Linked DNA regions of Oryzias latipes. The protein of the gene in region 1 interacts with the protein of each later gene in a biochemical or structural test. Links are inferred from orthologs where the notes say so. Each region holds a gene or a part of one and is shown in the gene's direction. Other genes may lie near its edges.

Region 1 (5,145 bases):
AGTTGGAATGTTCTAAGTCATATATAAAAAAGAAAGAAAGAAAATGTGTTCTGGTACTATATCGGGATGCGTGTCGTATCGCCAGACTCTTGCAGATACACACCCCTAGTCTGAACGGTTGTGTTGTTGTTGTGTTGTGTGTCCTGTGCAGCACGGCAGGACTCCTCTCCACCTGGCGGCTAAAAACGGGAGCCTGGAGGTGGTCCGGCATCTCTGCCTGGCCGGCGCCAACATCGACGCCGTCACCAACGTAAGCGGTTCTGCAGAAACGGTCCGTGGTTCCAAACCGTCTATGAAAAACCACCTCAAGGTTGTTAGTTTGAGCTTCTAGTCCTGACGGAACAACCCGGTTCTGATCCAAACCGAGCCTTTCATCAGAGACAATGCTGGTTTTCTTTGACATCTTTGTTTGTCTTCATCTTTTCTGGATGGTTGTGGTGTTTGGTTGCACTGCTTGATAGCTTTGGTTCAGCTCGGTTCAGCTCGCAGACCCGTCCCTTCAGGTTCTGCGCTGTGAGAACGGTTCCTCCAGAACGTTTAGGCAAATCTCTGCTGCTGAAGCCTTCAGGCTCTGAAATGAAAGATCACAGTTTTCTGCTGAAAAGGCTCTAAAATGCTTCAATGTCATGTTTTTACAGGTAAAAAACAAACCTTAACCTCATTTAACCTTCATTGTTCTTCCTGCTGAAACTGAAACGTCTTCTTCCTGGTTTTGTGGTTAAATACCTCACATGGGGCGGCGTTTTGAAAGAGTTTTCATGCTTCCAAATAATTTTGCGTTTGCATCACCGACCTGTATTCGAGCAGCTTTTTGTCTTTCTGTTTCGTTGGGGTCACTGGAACATCCTCTGGCTCGGCGCTGCGTCTTAGACGGCGTGCACGGATGACGATGGTAAAAAAAGTCTGAATTGATCCTTTTTGGAGGAGAACAGCTGCAGTTTGCCTGGACGGTGGTCTGTTGGCTTTAAAGTGATGGGGAACTGGTTTAGCTGTGGTTCTGAGTCTTCAGACGAACGAGCGTCACTCCTCGCCCCTTTTTCTCCAGAGGCTAATATTGAATGACAGCTGATCTATGATTCACGTCCAGGCGTCTTCAGGCTCACCTGCTGAGGACAGCGATGAGCCTCAGCAGTTCTTCAGGCAGCCGTTTCCTCCATTTACATGAAATAAAAGGCAGATTTTCAGGAGCTGGGGTTTGGATTCTGTTGGACAAATGACCAACACGTCACAGGAAAACACTGCAGCCAAAATCTGCACGAACGCCACTGATGTTCCTCAGGTTTTTAGGAGTCATGAACAGAGTCACAGCAGCTTCCAAAGCCAAACGTTGCTCCGCTGCTGCACCATCTGGCTGTCAGAGTCACTTCTGCCTGTAGAGATTTCCTCTTTTCTTCCTTTCAGGACGGAAAGACGGCCGAGGATTTGGCCTCAGCTGATCGACACGAGCCCATCGTTTCCCTGCTGTCAAAGCTTAAGAAGGTAAAGAAGCAGAAACGTCCCAAAAGTCTTTTCTGTTGCATTTCTGAGGGCTTCACTGCAGATGATGACGCCACACGGCTGCTCTTTGGTCGCCTTTCTACAGCCACACTCGATCACACGTGAAGCTTTTAGCTTCAAATGTTATGTTTTGGAGCGTCTTCCATGAAGCTTTGGGGCTTCCAGGCTTCAGCCGCCTCGAGCTCAGACGGTACAGGAGCCGACGTCGCCGCGGTTTGATCAGGAAACCCGCCGAGACATAAAGGCGAGCGTGAAAAGCCGCGAGCAGGAGCAGCGAAAACTGTCGTCTTCTGCATACGTTCAATACGGTCAGCTATTGTAGGAACCAGAATCTTCTACTTTCAAACAGAAACAGAGAATTCTGCTTCACCTCAGTTCCAGAATGATTAGAAGATGCATTTTTTGAGAGCAGCTTTGGTTTGAGGAGCTTTTCCTCCCACTCAAACGCTCCGTGTCAGAGGTGGCGATGACTCATTTGGCAGACGGGAGAAGTAGAAACGATGGAGAGTCCACAGCAGAAAGACGTCTCTTTTTGCTTTCTGATGTTTCCTCTCCTTCTGGGCCAGGACAACCTCAAGCTGAGCTTCATCCAGCAGCTGCGGCCCACCCAGAGCGTCCAGCCCAGAATCAAACTGAAGCTGTTCGGGCACTCGGGGGCCGGGAAGAGCACGCTGCTGGAGTCTCTGAAATGCGGCATCCTGCGCAGCTTCTTCAGGAGGAGGCGACCGCGCGGGAACAGCACAACCCGCCACCCCAACTCCCCCGTCAGCTCCAAGCCTGCAGGTACCAGACGCTCCTCTGATGCCCCTCCTCTGGAGGTACAGCAGGAACTTCACAGAAACTTGGATCTGAACCGAAATCCTCTTTTATGACAAATGTGCAGAGAAATGCCTCTTTCTGCTCACAAACATGGCATCTGTCACATTTTTTAAAGGCTAACACTCTGGTTCCCCCTAGTGGAAGTATGAGGAAAAGCACCACAGCGAACATGAAGGTTCATTCAGAAAAGCTGAAAAATCATCAACTTGACTTTAAAAGTCCTCTGTGTTTCAGTCGCACGGGGGACTTTTATTTATGTTATGTTAAGCAGCTTCATTAGAAGACAGACTCCTCCCACCAATGACCTTTAACTTCCTGATTCTGCAATGAAATGAAGAAAGTTCTAATAGAACCTTCAGTCTCTGTTCAAACACGTGCACACCCAAACACCGTGGATATGCAAGCATTAGTGCACATACAAGCATACGCACACTCATGCATTCTATGCATGTGCACACGCTTGCACACATACCCACAAGTACGCACAAACACACACGCATACTAGCAGGAATCCACTCCATGTGTGTGCACCTGCTTGAACACACAGGGAGATTTATGCACACGTGCATGCACACTGTGCACATGCATGCACACTCATACAGACACTGCATTAGCACGCATGTGCAGAGTGGACATGCATGTACTGCATGTGCACACACACTTTGGTGTTTTAATTCCAGTTCTCAGCTTTTCTTGGTTTTAGTTTGAAACAGCAGCAGATGGAGCTTTTTTTCAGGATTGTTTGGTTTCTAGAACCCGCTCTGACCGGCCTGCCTTCCTCCCCTGTCTGAAGTGTCGGTGAGCATCTCCAACTTGTATCCGGGCTGCGAGAACGTGAGCGTCCGCAGTCGCAGCATGATGTTTGAGCCCAGCCTGACCAAAGGCGTCCTGGAGGTCTTCTCTCCCGTCCACAGCGGCCTGTCCACGGCCGACGAACAGGCCACCAAAGCCATCGACATCCAGCACGCCAACATTCACGGTGAGGCGCCGACGGGCCGCTCCCGTCCATCTGCCTCCACGCGTGTTAAACTGCGGCCTGACCTCTGCAGGCGTGGGGGATTTCAGCGTTTGGGAGTTTTCGGGAAACCCCGTGTACCACTGCTCCTACGACTACTTCGCCGCTGATGACATCACGGCGATCCACCTGGTCCTGTTCAGCCTGGAGGAGCCGTACGAGACGCAGCTGGGCCACATCACGTACTGGCTGAACCAGCTGAAGGCGCTGACGCCGCCACAGGACAGCATCGGTGCGTCCCAGAGAAGCCGCTCGTAAAGTGTCGGACCGCTCTTCCCGGCGGTGAGGGTGACGTCTCTGTTGTCTTTCAGTCTTCGGAGGACGGATCCCGCAGCCGCTGGCCGCCGTCCTGGTGGCGACGCATGCGGACCTCGCCGGCGTTCCCAGGGCTTTCTCCGGAGAGTTCAGCTACGACAAGGAGCGGGCGCTGCTGAAGGAAGTCAGGAACAGGTGGGATCCAAAGCCAGGTTCACCTGTCCCATCTATTTCTGAACTATTAGTGGATCTGATCAGCTGATTGATCACAAAGAAGTCTTCCTCAGTTTCTGTTCAGATTCATTCTAAAGCTTCATCCATCAATAAATAAATAAATAAAGTCAATCTCAGGATTTCTTCATTTTCTTTATTTATTTTTTTTTTAAGAAACTTCCTTCCTCAGAAATAGTTGCACCAAATCTCTTCATCTTCACCCTCATCTTCATCTTCTGCTCCTGCAGGTTCGGGAACGACCTGCAGATCAGTGACAGGCTGTTTGTGATGGACGCCGGCGCCTCCAACTCCAGAGACGTGAAGCTGCTGAGGAGTCACCTGCAGGAGCTCCGCGCCGCCGTCATCTCTGTGAGCTCACGCACGCCGCTCGGGAACGCTGTTTCATCTGAAACGTGTGAAAAACCGACTGAAGTAGAAAACGGATCTTTGTTTGTCTAAAAGCTATAAAAACTGAAAGATATCAAACAAACGAACAAAAGGCTAAAAAAGACTTTGATCACAAAGTAGTCATTATTTTATTTCTGTTCTTTTGATCCTCATTCTGTTAATCTTATTTTAACATTAGAATTCAACTTTTGACAAAAGTTAAAAAAGTGAATTTCTTTTGAGTAAAATGCAGCATCCATTCATCCATCCATCTATCCATCCATCCATCTATCCATCCATCCATCCATCCATCCATCCATCCTTCATCCATCCTTCATCCATCCTGCCACACATACATACCACTAACACAGGGCTCCAGACTGCGAGCAATTGGTCGCATTTTGCGACCAAAATTTGAGAGTGTGCGACTGAATTTTACATCCAGTCGCACATGTACTACCAGTAAATTTGCTTCCCCCACCCTACGTATTTTTTATACATTAAACGTGGAAGGGGCACGTCAATGATCAATGAAATAATCAATGAGACGCAAGCCCACACGGACGCAGGCAGACACATACACACTCGCGCACATACTCATGAAACGCGAGCACGTACACACTCGCGTGATACCTGTCTGTGAGGCGGCCACTGCGTGAGAGAAGAATAGGGAAAGCCACTGTGAGTGGCTAAAATGCGTGGAGGGGGAGGGGCCTAGAGATAATCGAGTGCGCGTAAACATCTGTGGGAAGGAAACGGAGAGACAAATATCATCACAAACTGATATGTGCGTCTGAGCTATGGGCAAGTGAACTATTGATTCGTTCTTCCCACCTGCGGCTAGTGTACCAGTGCCAGAGTGTACAGCAGGGGTCTCAAACTCGCGGCCCGCAGGCTATTTGCGGCCCCCAAGATGATATTTTGCGGTTCCCGCCTTAATATGAAGGTTTAATGTTACT
Region 2 (5,145 bases), on another chromosome or scaffold:
AGTCTTGGCTGGTTCCCGTGTCAACAGCTTTAAAAAGGTGGTAGTGATACACTGGGAGGAGTGACTTGTGTGGATACGGTTACACCTTATGCTACGTCTGAGGGGCACTGGCTCCAGTAGATTTCATTTTGTTCTCATCCTCAGGTTCTTAGAAAGAATCCAGGTTTATGTCATCACTGTAAAATGCAAAATATATTTTTTATCTTCATTTTTTTTTTAAATATTTGCTGAAAATTAAGTGTCCTTCTTTCTTAGCTTGTGTGATTGTGTAGTTTCTGCCAAAGGGTCCTTAGTTTCCAGATGTTTTCCTTGACATACGTAGGGTTTCTAGGACAGGACGGTGGTTGTTTATTTAGGTCAAAAGGTTTTATTAACATGTAAAAATAATAAGGGAAAAACAGGGTATGTGACAAAAAGTTAGACTTATTTTCTTATATGACCTTAACTTGAATGATGACCATAAAACATCTAATTTTGTTCCAAAAAAAGCTTTTTATCTAGATTGTTTGTGCAGAGGTTCAATGATTTCTTTTCAAGTTTCAGCCTATGGGTTAATGGGCCTTTAAATATTCATTTTATGCTTGCAGACTGATCAGCTGTTAAAAAAACCTCAAAAAGTGATTGAAGTGGGACCTAAACATTTCATTAAAAGTTGCCTTTTTGTGACACATACCACGTTCAAACCATGCATGTAGTTAATAATCGGCACGGTTTCTTCTCGTCAAGGGCCACTAGCGCACGTCAAGACACCACTGGAATGGACATCACCAGTCGCTGTACTCTGGGGGACCCCAACAAGCTCCCTGAAGGGGTCCCCCAGCCAGCACGCATGCCGTACGTCTCAGACAAACACCCGCGGCAGACTCTGGAAGTGATCAACCTGCTGAGGAAACACCGAGAACTCTGTGACGTGGTGCTGGTGGTGGGCGCCAAGAAGATTTATGCTCATCGTGTGATCCTGTCTGCCTGCAGCCCTTACTTCAGGTAGGAAAGAAGACTGTGGAGTCGCGCTGACCCTCCTTTAGATGAAACTTAAAGGCTTGTGCTTGAGTTTGTGTTTGACTGATGTTTTTAGGGCGATGTTTACTGGAGAGCTGGCAGAGAGCAGACAGACTGAAGTGGTGATCCGGGACATCGATGAGAGAGCCATGGAGCTGCTTATTGACTTTGCCTACACCTCTCAGGTAAGAGCTGTAAAAACGGCTCCAACCCTCATTTCAATGCAGGAACATGATGAAGCTAAAGGGGGAAAAATAGGATAATGCTTGTCGATATTTCTTCAATAAAACTTTTTGGACAAAATCCAAACCTGTATACAGTAGTTCCATTTGAGAAGTGACTTTAAAATGCTTTCAAATAAACCAAAAGACTTGCCACACATTTATCAAAACCAAGTAAATGTATAGTCATAGTTGGAGAAAAAATAGGGAACAGTCTCATTGTTTTGGCTTTATATCCTGGCTTTTTTTAAACTTTGACAAATTAGAAAATCTGATTAAGATTAACAACTAATCATTTATGCACATTTCTATATTTCAATAAATCTCCATGTACGGCTGCTCCTTTCCTGAAGAATCTGCAGACATTTTGATGATCATGCACCTAACAATCGTTTGTTCAGAGCAGAATAAGGTTCCCTCTTAAAATTGAAATAGATCTAGAAATCTAGAAATAGACATACACTGCATGAGTGATTTGTATTTTTTTCTTCATGCAGTCCTAAAACCTTTAAAAGGCGTCTCTTGTGTTCTCCCAGGTGATTGTAGAGGAGGGAAACGTCCAGACGCTGCTTCCCGCCGCCTGCCTTCTCCAGCTGGCTGAGATCCAGGAGGCCTGCTGTGAGTTCCTCAAAAGGCAGCTGGATCCATCCAACTGCCTGGGCATCAGGGCTTTCGCAGACACGCACTCCTGCAGGGAGCTGCTGCGCATCGCAGACAAGTTCACACAGCACAATTTTCAGGAGGTGAGAGCATTATTGTAGAGAGCCTCCTGTGAAGGCTGTATTAGAATTAATATTACTGATTGTCTTTTTGGAGCAATCCGTTAGTCTGTTCAGTTTCATCAGTTTAGTTCAGGGCGCTGTAACCTAAAGCTCTGTAGACTTATGTGGCTCTTTTACCCCTCTAGTGCAGCAGTTAAAGAAAAATATATAAAGTTTTTCATTTAAAATAGTAAAGATAACATACCACTCTGCGAGGTTCCTGACCACGGTGCCCATAATACTCCAACGATCCATCAAGCGGTACGTAGGGACGTAACAAAAAGCATTGACTGAGTACAGTTCATTGTTTTTACTGTTGCAGTTTTTTTAGCCGCAAAACGTATTTTCTATATCAGCTTCATAGAGCTGCAAATCAAAAGAGGAGGAAGAAGTAAAGTCTGTTTTGTTAAACCTGATTCTCTGGTGGAAGAGGAGAAACTTAAAGAAATTCTGCATTGCATTGTGATGCCGTAGGTAATGGAAAGTGAAGAGTTCATGCTGCTGCCTGCCAACCAGCTGATTGACATCATCTCCAGCGACGAGCTGAACGTGCGCAGCGAAGAGCAGGTCTTCAATGCTGTCATGGCCTGGGTCAAATACAGCATCCAGGAGCGCAGGCCTCAGCTGCCACAGGTTTGTTGAAGCCCATAGTGTTTCTGCTTATAAAGGGACACGGTTGGCTTCTGATGTGTGAGCGCCCTTTCACCTTTTGCATGCTCTGCAGGTCCTGCAGCATGTCCGTCTGCCGCTGCTCAGCCCCAAGTTTCTAGTTGGAACTGTGGGTTCAGACCCACTCATTAAAAGTGACGAGGAGTGCAGGTGGGTGGGGTTTTGTGGGATCTGCATCCAAGACTCCACTCAAGTTTCTGTAAATGATGTTTATTATGACAAATATTGAAGACGACACAAAAATGGACTCGACCGCTTTGTTTTCCTGCATTTTCTCAGAGATCTCGTAGACGAAGCCAAGAATTACTTGCTGCTGCCACAGGAGAGGCCGCTGATGCAGGGTCCCAGAACCCGGCCCAGGAAACCCATCCGATGTGGAGAGGTTCTTTTTGCAGGTTAGTACGGTGGCCCTGAAGTACAAACCACAAACAAATATAATAAAGATCACAACAACAATCAGAAAAACAAATGATTAAAAAACCCCACTAAACTTTAGAAAACCAAAGTCATTTCCAGACATCAAACTGAAATGGTCAAAAATGAAAGAAAATTAGAAACCGGAAATAGGGAATTTATCCGGGGACATCACTGATTGAAGGAGGATGTTTGAGTTTTGAAGAATAGGTGGCTTAAGGAAGGTTTGAAGAAATATCTTGTCAGCAGATATTGCCATGCTAAATAACCTCCAGTTGAAAAGGTGAACAAACGTCATGATCCAGTCACTGTCCCATGAAACCTACTGTTTTATGTTTCTTTTTTTCCGAAAAATTGCTTTTCATTTCCAAAACATTTCTCTTTTTTTTTTAAATTATGTTTTGGTTTCTGTAATTTTGTTGTGATAAAATGTAAATAGATTTTTTATTATTTTTTTTTTTCTGTTTTATTTTGTTGCTGTGATCTTTAATCTGGTTTAGAGTCGAGTGATTTGTTGATGTGTTTTGCCCTTCAAGGCCACCGTAGGTTGGAACAGAAAACCGTTTTTAGAAGAAGTCAGTCCATTAAACTTTTAGCTTTCTGCTATTTATTCTCATGCTATGTTCTCTGTACTCTTTGCTCTGCAGTCGGGGGCTGGTGCAGTGGAGATGCCATTTCCAGCGTGGAGCGCTACGACCCGCAGACTAACGAGTGGCGCATGGTGGCGTCCATGAGCAAACGGCGGTGTGGAGTTGGAGTTAGTGTCTTGGATGACTTACTTTACGCAGTGGGAGGTCACGACGGCTCGTCTTATCTCAACTCTGTGGAAAGGTTGTTACTTGAGTCCTGGCGGTTTTCTCTGATCAGTGCTTTTGACCGCTTTTCCTCTGTACATCATTAGTTACATTATTTGTCTCATTTTGTTTTTTATTTACTGCCAGATATGATCCAAAGACAAACCAGTGGAGCAGTGATGTGGCCCCTACCAGCACATGTCGCACCAGTGTGGGCGTCGCCGTGCTGGGTGGTTATCTGTATGCTGTGGGAGGACAGGATGGCGTGTCCTGCCTAAACATTGTTGAAAGGTAAATGACAGAACGCAGATAATCTTATTTCGTCTCATTTTGTTCTTGGATCTAATTAATCCAATAAATAGCAGCTTATTTTTCTGGACGCATTGGAATGGAGTGGAGCAAGTCTTTTTTAAACGGCCTTTTTCCTTCTGTTCCTGATTCACAACAATTTAAAAAGAGAAAACTGCAGAAATTAAATTTTTAGCAGAAAAATGCCAGAGGAACATGTTAAAAACGCCCAAAACACAATTATTTCTCCCATAATGGGTCTTTAACCTACATTTTAAAATGCATTTGTAAATGCACTTAATTACAGCCTCTTCACTTGTTTCTGATGCATTAGATCTTAACTGTGTTTCTCACTACACCTCATCCTGTAATATGAGCTAACACCATTATGCTGGCTGCTGTTTACTCCATCAACAAAATGCTGAGTCCTCATTTGCTGCAGAAAATAGATGTGGGGAATATTTCAGCGGGAATCCCAATTGTTGTTATTCACAGTTGATGTTGACCAGATGGGTGGAGGTGAGGCACATTGAAACTTTTGCAAAAAGTCTTCCAGACTGGGAACAATATTTAAAACAACTTTGAAGTGTCCTAAATGTTTAACCACAGATGTGTTTTTGGGGCAGTCACACGTTACCTGTGTGGTTTGTGTCTCCAGCATCCCGTGCTGCATGTTGCTGTCTTTTTCACCCGGAAGCTTCAAACATTTGTATTCAGAGTACAGTTCAGGATCCGTCAGTGGAGAATGTGAACGTCTGTTGACCTCCATCATATTCTGCTGATGCGAGAAGCTTTGTCTGTACTTTCTCACGGCTTTAGGTATGATCCAAAGGAGAACAAATGGACCCGAGTGGCCTCCATGAGCACCAGGAGACTGGGGGTTGCCGTTGCTGTCTTGGGAGGATTTCTTTATGCTGTTGGGGGGTCTGATGGGACATCTCCGTTAAATACAGGTGAAATACTTCCTTTCGTGTTTACGAATAGATGTATCTCTGAGGT

Evidence for each region. The genes of interacting proteins can lie anywhere in the genome.
Region 2: the proteins of dapk1 (region 1) and klhl20 are reported together in a solved structure, tested with the Homo sapiens proteins (2 studies listed by BioGRID and IntAct, with this or other methods). The link is inferred for Oryzias latipes from reciprocal best matches to the Homo sapiens genes DAPK1 and KLHL20.

What each region holds. Positions count from the first base shown.
Region 1 is NC_019867.2:1,289,449-1,294,593, reverse strand, and holds part of dapk1 (death-associated protein kinase 1), read left to right. Parts: intron 1-151; coding exon 152-250; intron 251-1,401; coding exon 1,402-1,479; intron 1,480-2,063; coding exon 2,064-2,280; intron 2,281-3,109; coding exon 3,110-3,295; intron 3,296-3,365; coding exon 3,366-3,563; intron 3,564-3,642; coding exon 3,643-3,781; intron 3,782-4,047; coding exon 4,048-4,168; intron 4,169-5,145. UniProt on the Homo sapiens protein: Calcium/calmodulin-dependent serine/threonine kinase involved in multiple cellular signaling pathways that trigger cell survival, apoptosis, and autophagy.
Region 2 is NC_019875.2:20,576,163-20,581,307, reverse strand, and holds part of klhl20 (kelch-like protein 20), read left to right. Parts: intron 1-726; coding exon 727-984; intron 985-1,075; coding exon 1,076-1,184; intron 1,185-1,756; coding exon 1,757-1,963; intron 1,964-2,455; coding exon 2,456-2,614; intron 2,615-2,705; coding exon 2,706-2,800; intron 2,801-2,929; coding exon 2,930-3,045; intron 3,046-3,711; coding exon 3,712-3,895; intron 3,896-4,005; coding exon 4,006-4,149; intron 4,150-4,965; coding exon 4,966-5,099; intron 5,100-5,145. UniProt on the Homo sapiens protein: Substrate-specific adapter of a BCR (BTB-CUL3-RBX1) E3 ubiquitin-protein ligase complex involved in interferon response and anterograde Golgi to endosome transport.